3 linked regions of the Bombyx mori genome follow. Each later gene encodes a partner of the first gene's protein in a complex. Links are inferred from orthologs where the notes say so. Each region holds a gene or a part of one and is shown on either strand. Other genes may lie near its edges. The genes, in order: DNA polymerase alpha subunit B, DNA primase small subunit and DNA polymerase alpha catalytic subunit.

Region 1 (4,304 bases):
GAATTCTCGGGATACTTGTTTCGAATGACGTACAGTATTAGTAGTTTGGAAAGTTAAGCTAAGATGGCTTCTAAAATGTTGGTAGTCTTTAACAGAGAGAAACGATAGTTCAAGCTCGGGCTAATACTTCTTTTTGTAAAAGCATAGAGGCCCCGCGGATTAGTTTGCTCCTATATCTGTGCCGAGGTTCTTAAGTATCCACTTTTTTCGTTTAACCCAATACAGAAAAGAACAGTTTTGATCGTTTGCTCTATCTCAGTTCTTTTGTAGCCCCTGCATCTATGATTTTACTTTGATTCTTTCGGTATTTGTAGCGTATGAACCATGTGGAGTGGTCTAAGGAATATTCTGAGATGGCTCTGTCATCTCCTTAGTAAGGGAACGTACCCATAGTACGTGTCCCGTTTAGGGCGGGGAGCGGAGTCTTTAAAATACTACGGTCAGTCACAGGAGCGGGGGGGTGGCTCAGGTTTTTGTCACGTAGTCGATTTTAGTGAGAGAAATCTCGTATTTTTTCGACCTATATTTGAATATAGCGCACAGTGCTTAGCGCTTTGTAAACTCACACTACATAATTCACTAGTAATTTAAATGTGCATGCAGTCTTGTGCAATAAAGACGAGTATGAACCAATTTTTATTTTTTCAATTTTTGCCTATGTAATGATTAAAAATCATAATGAATTACTACGTGAAAACTAAAGGGGGAGAGGGGGGGGGTCTTGGCATATACTACGAGTGATCACCGTGGGGAGGGAGGTCGAAAAAACAAAAAAAATAGGTCACGTAGTATGGGTACGTTCCCTAACTGTACCACCCGCCGTCGGAACGGTTTGGTCATGTACCTACTTAGAACCACTCCATTCCTCCCTAATGCGATTCCAGTGATCATTATTGACACTTAAAATCTGGCTCTATAGTGAGTACCCCTCCTTGGCATTCTATGAGCGCTAGCGACATAGTTTTGTATTAAACATGTTTTGAAAAGTCCCAAGACCATACTTTCCCATACTTTTCTAATATTTGGGCAACAATGAACACTCAACATCAGGTGGAATATATGCACAGCTACCTCAAAAGCAGAAAAAAAGTGTAGGTACTCTCAAGCAACTGCATACCAAGAGCATATAACCACAGCCGTGTAGTCTCAATTGGTACATAATTAGCAGACTCTTTCACTGTTATTGTCTTTAATTTTAAAACTGAACTCAAACATAACCTTTATAAGAAATCAATTGTTAGATTAAACATTCACCGTTAATATTAATAAAAAATTAGATATATATTTGTGGCAACTAAGACTTACAAAAAATTATAAACAAGATAAACAATATTTGTACCGGACTGGTTGCAGTACAAATTTTCACATTTGTGAGATACTCATCGTTTTACAGTAGTTAGATTCAAACATTCAGCATTACTTATAGCTGGACTGTTTGATGGTTACCAGAATATACTATTAACATGCAAGTCATTTTTTTAACTTAGTTTAGTATTATTTTAATGCTTCTGTGTGATGTATTTCCAATTTTACAATAACAATATTTTATGTTAAATGTCTGTGATACAAATAGACTATAAAACTTACTCATAAGAAGAATGAGTTGATGGCTGCAGACGAGTATGGATCTAGTCATGATCAATATAAAACATGAACCAGAAGCAAACTCGCCCACAAATATCATCAAGTCACTGGTTGATTTTTAATACGCACATTCCATTTTAATTAGTTGTTATTTATCCACTTCCTTTCTTGATGCTTTGTTTGCAATAATGATTTCAAAATGCATTTATATTTAATTTGTAGGGTAGATTATGAAATGTATGTTTAAAATATTGATACAAGTCAGATGCTCTGAAGATGAATCCATAAGCACTCAATGAGTGTAGATCTAGTCACAGAATCAGCCCGGTGATACTAGACCTATACCCATTAACTACAAATGGAGAAAGATCCGTTTTTCTTCAAATACTCTTCATCAACTGAAAGATTTATTAACACATACACAAAATTCAGTATTAAGGTACTAACTGAGAATTAAGATTCATCGCTTAGAGATTTAGAAACAAAAAAACTACGTACATAACCTTGAAACGTTAACTCAAAACTAACACGAAGTTTATTAAAATCCAGTTACATACCTTGGGCGTTACGGCAACATAACTTGACAGTACTTCACTGTCTGGACTATATCAGTATAGGAAATGATTGCACAAAATTTTTGAAATAACGCTACTAACACAATAGTGTTTTAAGAAACATAATGAATATAAGAAGCACATTTCATAAAGTTATTTTCTAATATACTGCAAATTTCAACGTACTTTGTGTCAAAGGATACGGCGAAGTGGCTTTTGCTCCATAAACGGTAAGACTTTTACCGGCAGCTGGTCGTGTGGTTTCTTTAGCGGACGCGTTAGTTCGGCGCTTGGAAAATTCCTTTCTTACGAATAAATCTAAGTTTTCCAAGTTTGGTGAAGCACCGTTTACATAATTCAAACTGAATGCCATCCATTGTTCGATAAAAGTTTCAGCATCAATATTGTTCTCTTCACATAAATTTACACCTTTGGAAAAATGGTTCGTGAAACAACCTTGAACATGTTATTTGTCAATGTTTAATTACAATCACCATTGATAGAACTTATCGAGCACAGGTAACAGAAAAGACAAACCGTTTCTAACCGTTAAACAAGCTTACTTACATTTTAATAAAACATCTTGTTCAACGTTTATGCCAAAAAATTTAAATTGCTCAGTCACCAACTCTTCGGAGGCCATTTTCTGTAATTGAAAGAGCAAATGAAAGAAAAGGAAGCAAAAGAGCGCCAACGCCGATCCGAAAGTTTGCGTCAAAAAAGAGGTTGCCAGAAACGAAAATTTTTAAAACCTGCCATAGAACAGTCAAATCAGTCGTAACTTGTCTTGTCATTGTAAAGTAAATTTTTAATTTACGAATCAGTGACTTTGTGCTGCGTCGCAAAGATTTCTTTTACGTTTTTGTTTATAATGGTTTAATAAACAACTAACTTAACAAAATCAAAAAGCAAGAAACAATGTTCATTTGTTTTAAATTTAACAGTACCTACTTTAGGATATTATTTGTTTTTTACTAGAAAGAAACTCTTCCATAAACCGAATTAAATTCAATTTACCCCAGTTGAAGACCCGCTTCAAAGAGCTATGTTCTTCACTCACTTGTTGATTATTTCGCCTGAATTAGGTTCCGAGAAATATGGATGACCGATACATTGCCAATCCCTTCTGATTTTACCTGTTTATTAATACAAGCCATCAATAGGGCATATAACATGCTGGAACGCCAGAGTTAATGGTGATGATAGTGCAGGGGTAACCGTCAACGAAGAGCTCCAACCATTCTAAAGTACATTCGATGCGATTTCATGCCTCAAGGGTTCTTCTCGCTTCCCATTTCGCACTTCCCGACACTTCAGCTCCATCCAATATCCTGCCATTAATCATTGAAGCTTGCGTAGTGTAAAATCGGGTTAAAAATTCAGTAGATAGTAGGACTTGAAACGAATGGCTGGCGCCCACCCTCCTGATTATGTTTGCCATCAAACGTCCATTTTCCACTATCGGGTCGCCGAATTTCTGCCCCTTTCTGGTCTCCTTTTTTAATGCTTGTGACGTGTCTCAGTGGTTTCTGGAACTTACGGGGCAGACGTATTTGTGTGTCTATAAAGTGTGGTGAGTTTACGCAGAGACCAATACAGCCCATCGTTCGCAGGAAAGACCGATACCCTCCCGTGTCCATTAGTTCCTCACACAATCCATGACCAAGATTTTGCTATACCCCACCAATCTACTGCTGCTTCACAAGCAGCAATGCAGCAGCAAGCGACTTCAAGGGCAGTCATTGTACTATAGTGCACAATAATATAGGTAGTAGAACCGACTTGAAAACCACAACTCGATGTAGGCGTCATTTACGTTGTTGATGTCTAGAGACTCTGGTGACCGTTTAACACCAAGTCGGCCGTGAGCTCGGTCATTCGTCTAAGCAATAAAAATTAAAAACCATTGTCGCCTCGAAAACCGCGATTCTCGGTTCTTTGGCACCGTAGTGACCACGGGGGTTGTTTGTTTATTTTATACTCATATTTATGCCGGTTTTTCCAGGTCCCACGGTAGTAATGGGGTTTCTTCACTTATTTAAGTACGCACACCTTAATGACTGTAAATACGAATGGACTGTGTAAAAAACTGGTAAGTCAAAACGAAAAACAGTCAAACCCTGGAGATCAGTAGCGCTTTTTTTTTGGCTGATGGCCGAACCTCGT
Region 2 (4,086 bases), on another chromosome or scaffold:
AAGATAACAAAAACTAAAATAGTCTTACTGGCATCACTGCGTTTTCTCATAGCTTCAGTTTTCTCCAAAGCGAATACAAGTTCTTGGAAAATTTTAACAGCCGCTTTCATATTAGTTTCATGTTGGTTATTTTCGGCGACACTATCATCTAATAAACTGTATATTGTTGGTATTTCATCGATCTTCAAATTCTTTGCATTTGCTGACTTGAAAACAACAGACACTTTTCCAGTTTTCGGATGTATACTGAATGGAGACTTGAGCAAGTGATTGAAACCTTTTGTCACATTAACATCTAATCTGGGGTAGCAATATTGAATTTTTATTTCTTCTATAAGATATTTTATTTTTCGTATAACATTTCCATTCTACAAATTGAAAAACATGACAAAATAGAGTCATACATATATATGCATATTTTTTAGGACACAACTTCTAATATGTAGGTTAATCTTGAACTGTATCCTTGGAAAAAAATTTAAGCAGTTTAAAAAACAAATGCCAACGACTTTTCAATGAATTTCTAATTTTTAATGAAGTACCAAATTTTTCTTTATGTCAAAATTTTATTATTTTTTTACCTCTCTGCAATAATTTTCATAAATATTTATAAAAGTGTTCCACTTATTCAATGATGGTTCCTGCATTTTTTTCAAAGTTGTTTCAACCTGTGATTTTAACGCATCATCTGGTATCAACTTCAAAAATGAGTTTAGCTTATCTGTTGCTAAAAATTCCTGATCTTGTAATAATTGTTCAAAGTATTTGTCTATTATATTTAAGGCACGCCTGGAACAAGTATTTAAATATACTATTTTTAATTTATTTATTACTTACACTTCATGTATTTTATATATTAGTAAACTTAATGCCTAACTCATTCTCCTTACGAAAATGAATATCAGATCGAACATGAAACGTGTAAATATACAAGGGAATGCGTAACTTCCTCAAGGGAGTGTTATATAAGTTATGTGTAGTATAAAATTATAAAGTGTAAAAGTTTATTAGTGAAAATGATAAGGACAGCGGTATTAAAATTATAAGTTTGGGGGTGATGTCTTACTGTATACACTTGTAAAGTATATAAAGGTATGTATATAAAAGGGACTTTGTGTCAAATCTAGTCCTGATCTTGATATGTGACATTATATCAAGGTAACATTCTAAGCATTCTAAATTCTGATTAGCATGACCAATGTAAATTATTTTCACATGTAACCAATAATAATACAGTGTTACATCATAATCACTTTTCCCTTAGCCTTAGTAATGATTTTTACTGGTCAAAACTCTGGTAATGTGCTCCAGCAGCTTATGAAAGAAAATAATAGTATTTTCTTATTAATCTTCTTTGGATGGGTAGATCGACTCATAAAAGTAATTTTTAATTTTGCGAGAAGTAATTAACAAAATTATTATCAACAAAATTATGATCATCTATCATTTTCAAAAAATATTTATGTAAATCTCATGTAAGAATATCAAATTAAAAAAAAATGATATAACCTTATACTGGAATGTAAGTTTTCATTGCCAAGATGCACTTTTTTACTTTGGTTTTCACCACCTACGATTAAACAAAGGTAATCGGCAATAGCTCCTCGACCTGGACTATCGAGAGTTCTGGCTTCATAATCTGATACCCAACAGTGAATACCACGCCGACCTGAAAATACCCACAGGATGCTTTGGAACCCGAAGTCATCTGAAATTAGTAAGTCAAGGATGTGAATTTGAATTCAATCAATCATTTTGTCAATTATAAGAATCATGAATCACTTGTATCATGAAAATAATACTATAGATGTGGATAATTGAAGTCAAAATCCATTCACTAGTGGAAATATATAAGTAACTAACTACTACAGTGTAAATATGTTTTGGTTTTCTTTTTTTTTTCTATTGGCCCACAAACATCCTCTGCTGGACATATGGTTTTGTAGTTTTTTTTCGCCACCCCAAGTATGCATGAGATAGGTTACATTTTAATGAGTGTGGTGTGGTAAATAAATATAGAAATATAGAAGAATCTTTAATGGTCTGTAGCTCAGTAAAGTAAATCATGTATTTACCTTTTAAAGCTTTATCAATGATTTCACATGCAATAACCATAAATTTCCAGCATTTTTCACACACTCTAGCTTCTTGACAACATGTTCTTATTTCATCATAGTCTGTTAAATCTATATCGAATACTAGTTCTCGCGATATCACTACAGCGTCATGTCTTCCTACAGAAGGCCTTAAATAACGGAAGAATACCAAGTGACAATAAAAGAGTGTAATATTGCTTTTTAAATGCTAATAAATGAAATTTACTTTATTAAATATTCAAGCATGATATTTTAACTTCATACAAACTTTTAGACATAAAACATACTTTGTGTTGTAAACTGCTCCAACATCCAATTTGTGTGGACATTTCTTTTGAAGAAGGGTTTGTAAATCCTTTTGATGCGAAATCGACAAATAACGGAGGTAGACATCGTCAGCTAAAGTAAATGATAATTCTCTGTTACAGAGCGGTTGAGGCGAACTACCGCATGCTAGCCATCTACAGAATATATTTTGCGGAAATTGCCTGGCATAGTAAGTGGGTAGCATATCAGATAGAATGTTTTCATTGTGTTCGCCAATCTGTACAATTAAATTGATATTAATCAGAAGTTTAGTTTTTTATTTAGATCAGTTTGAATTTGAACTTACCATTTTTACCAAAACAACAACTCCTATAATGACATTTTTTTTAGGGATTTCATGACCTGATAACTAATACCTTTAAGTCATGTCTTATTTTAATTTATATTCTTATTTTTATGAAAAATGATAACCAATATGGAGTGAAATGAAATGAAATGAAGATGATTAATTTGAGACATTAATCAACTGGGATGAAATTAAATGAAATGAGATGAGATGATATCTCTCTATCTATAATCTCAGTCATTTTACTGAGATTATATTTCATTCCATACCATCTCATCTCATTTCATTTAATTTCATCCCAGTTGATTAATGTCTCAAATTAATCATCTTCATTTCATTTCACTCCTTAATATCATTTTTCATAAACATAAGAATATAAATTAAAATAAGACATGACTTAAAAGTCTTAGTTACCAAGTCATTAAATCCTTTAATAAAAACTAATTAGGAATCCGAGACCGAAAATTTGTAGAATCGATTAAATGAGTCGTCTATTAACAAAGGCGGCAATCTGTACATTTGGACAAAAAATTTTTATTGATATGTCAATACAGATTTATTTGAATATAATCGTCTCTTTCAAAGAATACGGTTCAAAACCTGCATTAAATAAAGGTTAATAGTTAACCTGTTATTTATCTAAGATGTCGTTCCGAAGAGTTTTGTGACTGCCAATGGAATACAAAGTCAATAATTCGTTTTTCTGATTTACCAATCATTGTCCAAAAGTCAGATTGCCGCCTTTGATAATAGTCGACTCAAATGTAAAAAAAATTTTTTAACCTACCCGTAAACATTTTTCAACTACCTACCCTAAATTTTATTCAGCTTTGTGTGTGAATTGAATCTTGATTTAGTTATTGATGTCAAAACTGCTGAAATTCTGACTACTAAAACAATATGGAAATTAATAAAGACACCGCTTTTTTAATAGTAGTAAAAATGTCATTTCGTAAGTAGGAACATTAAAAAATAACCGTAAACCCTAATTTAATAAGTAATGGATCTTTTAAAATACTTTTCACATGTGTTTGTGGTTTAAACCACCAACAGTATTTACTTTAATTTACGAAAATAATTATTCGTCTATATTTTCAGGTTCACTGCACAATTCGTATTGCAAGACTTCGGAAAAATTTCTTAATGCATCAAAGGTATTGATCGAATCGTTGCTAAGAAAGCCATTGGCAATGACTTTAATAGCAGCCTGGTTATTAAATTTACTGCTTATATCTACGTTTTTTTCTGTAACTGTTATTTTGATGACCTCAACTATATTTCTAGTAATTGTATTTTTAGAAGGTAAGTTACTATACTACTAATATTAGATACTGAATATTAAAGAATTAAAAAAAAAAATATTAAAATTTCAGACAA
Region 3 (4,127 bases), on another chromosome or scaffold:
TGCTGAAGTCATCGTCAAAGTCAATATCTTGTGTTTCAAATTCTTCTATATTAGGAGTAAGCGTTTCATTAAGTTCTTGCTTGATTTCTTTTTCAATGTTCCATTCTGGTTTCTTGATTTTCTTATTTGCAGGTTCATTTACCACATGATTTATCTGTGAGGTTAAAATAATATATTTGTTAATATTTGTAGGCTGTGGCTGTTACACTTTATTTAAACAAAAACAAACTTTACATGTAATAAATTATAGAATAGAGTTAATAGAATGATTGTTGTCTCCATGTTATTATCGAAGGTTTTATGGAATTACTAAGGAGTTGTTTCTTCTATAGCACTGGATATCATCTGGCTCTCTCTCACCCTCCATGCTAACCGGATTGCTATGATGTTCTATTTTAAACAAGGTTCGAAAAGTGTCCACAGGAGATTGGCTATGTGTAGCTCTGGTATTGCTGATGTCTACAAGGGGCAGAAACCACTAATCATTAGGTAGGTAATCTGTCATCATCAATAATATCAAGGATATTTAAAATACAATTAAAAAATATTTAACTTTACCATATTTACCATATTTTTTTCACACTGTACTGCAGATGTGTCTGGCTCAATACTTTCAGTCTGAAATAATAACAAGTTTTAGCTTGCTGTTGCAAATTATTTTAGTAATGTAACATCTGTTTTGTGTAGAGAGAACGATTTTCAATGGGTACATTCTGCATAAATACATTTCGTTATATATTTTCGACGACCTTTTAATGCGAAGTTTACTTTTCAAATTGTGTTACATGAATAAATTACTATTCAGTATCAGCTACTACAACATTTATACTTTTATAAATAATTATCCAATCAGGTTACAGGAAAAGCACAGAAGACTTAAATTTAGAACCAATACGTAACTAATTTAGGTATCGTCAAAACGCTATTTCGACAAAGCGGCGGGATATGATAATTCTCTTATTCTGGTCACTGCTAATTACATACTTTTTACATATCTTTGACATTTTTTGCTCTTCAAGCACCGGACCTAGTCGAACTCGTCGATAACGACAACCGAATTAACCAGTGACACAGCTGGCTGAGTTTCTTGCTAGATCTTCTCAATAGGTCGTGATTCTGATCTAGTGGTGAATTCTGCCAAGAACTGCTCGCGCTAAGGCTAGTGTTGGCAAATTCTCCAAGTATTTGGAATAGCCCCTTAGACTAACAGTTAATAACTCGATACAAATGAAAAAATGATACATGCCTCCTTTTCTTCCTTGAATGTTTTTAGTACAGAAGGTTTCTTGACGTTAGCAGAAAGACTTTTGAAGTAGTTTTGTGCATCTCTCTTACTTGTATCCACAATGTTAGTTTTAGTTATAGGCAGTGTAGATTTTACTACATTTGATGCAGTGTTAGCATCCAAATCAGATATAATATCAGATAAAATATTATCTTCTGAAATCTTTACATCCTGAAAGAAAGAAAAACAACATATTAAATTACTAATAAAAAATTAAGTTAGGATTCAAACATTACCAAGTTGCCAATTATTTGATAATATGTGCAATTAAACAGGGAATTTAGTTTAGAGAAGTAGTCAAAGTTGCTCAAGTACCAAATTAAATTAACCCTGTTTTTACTAGGATTACAGGTTATAAAAATATTTTTTTTTATTAATCTTTATTTCAGAAATATAAGGTTGGATCTATATTATGCAAAAAATTATTAAGTTTTTGCACTTTTCTCTTGGAATCTAGACTATAATTATATTTGTCATAGTCTGTAACTCTATAGAAGACTATAGTTTTTATATTTTTCCTAAAATTATCAGAAGGATGTCCCCGATACATAAGAACTAATTAGTACTTAAAATATCCTATCTAAAACATTATAATCATAGATATCAATGGATTGCATTCTTAAATATAAATTAAATAAATGAAATATAACAAACCTCTTTTTTCTTACTAGGCATGTTACCAATTAAGTTTCGTATATTCCCTTTTCCTGAGGACTGTGCTGCAACTTTGGCCTTCCTTTTCTGTCCTCTGCCTGTATCTTTACTATTTGTTGCTTCATAAGCATCATCATCATCATCAAATATCTCCCTTCCATCTTCAACATAGCCAGTACCATCTAAAAAGTTTGTTACATTAGTTGAATCTTCTAATACATATTTTTCACTCGTTAAGTATAGCCAGTATTGAAAACAAACATTACTGTGTCACTAATGCACATTTAATTTACAGAATGGATGTTTTCTCACTTGAAAATTTCAATTCGGTTTGTAGTCACTTTAAACATTTAATAAATAAGGATTTTGAAAATTTATATGTGAAACTTTTTTGAAAAGTCTAGTTAATATTATTAGTTGAAACTAAAAATTATGTACTGATTTGTAATATGGATTTACCATCTTCTATCCAATCGTCTTCTTGTCGCTGTAGAACTCTTTCTGTGTATTCTTTCTCGTCAACAGTGTCGTACACATTCTCAAGCACATCCACATCGTACTTATGCTTTACACCTTTCCCTTTTAATTGTTTTAGCTTCTCAAACGCCGAGAATCGACCGTGTCGGTCTGTTTTTTGTCGCTTCGCACGCTGAGCAGCTACAAACAGTAAATACATTTTGTTAAATGTTCAAGGAGTTTCGAAACTAAATGCATCCTAGATACAGACTTAAGTATTGCAGTACCTATTGAATCGGCCATTCTCTTTTAATAGCTTTTCTTTTGTACACATATATAAGTTTAAAACAATTTACATTTACAAGAAACACTAATATTTTGATTAGGTTAAATTCTTTTTAGATATTTTGGCGCGTATCCACTTTGAAAGCCTTCAGCTGTGATTGACATTTGATATTTGTATTCCGTTTTGCAACAGAAAGGGCGAGGATATCATACTATACAGTCGAATCTCTTTTCTAAATTAATTAATTAAAGTCTTCATGTTCTACTAAAGGATAAGGTATATGGTGTGAAATTTGCATGTCGTAGATTTCGTTTTTGCCCTTTTTTAGAAGACTTTTAATATGCGAGTTGTTCCCTTTACCTATCCATTTAGAAATAAAAATCTTCTTAGTTTCACAAATTTCGCGCCAATTTGTAACTGTCAAAAAACATTTGTTGTGATGCTTGTGATCGGTGCTGGTGATACATTTGTGATTAGTATTTGAAGACAGCAATTATTCGAATAACATATTTCTAACATAATGGCAATGCGTGATTACACTGCAGATAAAGGTACTTGAAGAAGATCGAGCATATTACCAAAATTATGAACGATTAAATAATTTCAATAAACCTTTACAGAATCTTTCAAGAACTTTTTCGTTGATTTTTGTCAAACTGATGATGAAGGAAAAAAGTATTTTAAATATGCTGAACAACTTACTAAAGTTGCACACAGAGAACAGGTAAGATTGTTCGGTTCATAATAATAATAAAAATACAATGCTATGTTGAGGTTAGGGTAGTTGTAGTTTCTAGTTCTTTGAATGATATAATAATATAATTTCACTTATTTTATTGCTGGGACAATTTTTCCAGTTTTACTATAAGGTATAATTGTTATCTTATTGTAAACTATCGCAGGATCAAGATAATGATTATTAGCAGATAATGAAGATTAGTTTATTTATGTGTATACAGTTATTAGGATAACAGAAAGTTAGGATTAAAAAAAATTATAGCTTGTTGTATGAATTATACTTTAAATTACCGAAATTTTTATGTAACTGAAATCAAACTAAACTAAACCTCAATACACATCATGACTGCCTGCTTAGGGCACACAGGAAGCAAGAAGACGTTAATAACAAAAACTAATTTTTTATTATAGATAGCATTTGAAGTTGACTTGGATGATTTACATGAGATGAATGAAGATTTGACTGAGGCAGTCAAACAAAATACCAGAAGATACACTAATATGGTGTCAGACGTGGTTTATGAAATGCTGCCTGATTACAAATTCAAAGAGGTAAGCATTGATATAATTATGCAAAGCTTAAAGATTGTAGCAAAAATGGGAAAAAGCAATTATACTAACAATAACAGAAAGCATTTATGTGCAAATTGCTGCGTAAATGTACATAATGTATGTGACCTTATAATTTCATTCATTGTATAAAATGAA

The links.
Region 2: DNA polymerase alpha subunit B (region 1) and DNA primase small subunit share a complex: the UniProt entries of both Drosophila melanogaster proteins name them as parts of the alpha DNA polymerase complex. The link is inferred for Bombyx mori from reciprocal best matches to the Drosophila melanogaster genes PolA2 and Prim1.
Region 3: DNA polymerase alpha subunit B (region 1) and DNA polymerase alpha catalytic subunit share a complex: the UniProt entries of both Drosophila melanogaster proteins name them as parts of the alpha DNA polymerase complex. The link is inferred for Bombyx mori from reciprocal best matches to the Drosophila melanogaster genes PolA2 and PolA1.

What each region holds. Positions count from the first base shown.
Region 1 is NC_085131.1:8,410,523-8,414,826, forward strand, and holds the start of DNA polymerase alpha subunit B, read right to left. Parts: upstream 2,860-4,304; 5' UTR 2,782-2,859; coding exon 2,706-2,781; intron 2,595-2,705; coding exon 2,342-2,594; intron 2,188-2,341; coding exon 2,142-2,187; intron 1,944-2,141; exon of another isoform or gene 1,867-1,943; intron 1,684-1,866; exon of another isoform or gene 1,604-1,683; intron 1-1,603. UniProt on the Drosophila melanogaster protein: Accessory subunit of the DNA polymerase alpha complex (also known as the alpha DNA polymerase-primase complex) which plays an essential role in the initiation of DNA synthesis.
Region 2 is NC_085116.1:10,063,870-10,067,955, reverse strand, and holds the start of DNA primase small subunit, read right to left. Parts: upstream 2,867-4,086; 5' UTR 2,713-2,866; coding exon 2,710-2,712; intron 2,642-2,709; exon of another isoform or gene 2,641-2,641; coding exon 2,384-2,640; intron 2,246-2,383; coding exon 2,076-2,245; intron 1,709-2,075; coding exon 1,510-1,708; intron 790-1,509; coding exon 582-789; intron 369-581; coding exon 1-368. Other genes in the region: uncharacterized protein LOC101739672, read left to right, coding at 3,610-3,661, 3,808-4,011. UniProt on the Drosophila melanogaster protein: Catalytic subunit of the DNA primase complex and component of the DNA polymerase alpha complex (also known as the alpha DNA polymerase-primase complex) which play an essential role in the initiation of DNA synthesis.
Region 3 is NC_085121.1:13,177,026-13,181,152, reverse strand, and holds the start of DNA polymerase alpha catalytic subunit, read right to left. Parts: upstream 2,877-4,127; 5' UTR 2,699-2,876; coding exon 2,683-2,698; intron 2,597-2,682; coding exon 2,399-2,596; intron 2,122-2,398; coding exon 1,940-2,121; intron 1,457-1,939; coding exon 1,247-1,456; intron 619-1,246; coding exon 559-618; intron 155-558; coding exon 1-154. UniProt on the Drosophila melanogaster protein: Catalytic subunit of the DNA polymerase alpha complex (also known as the alpha DNA polymerase-primase complex) which plays an essential role in the initiation of DNA synthesis.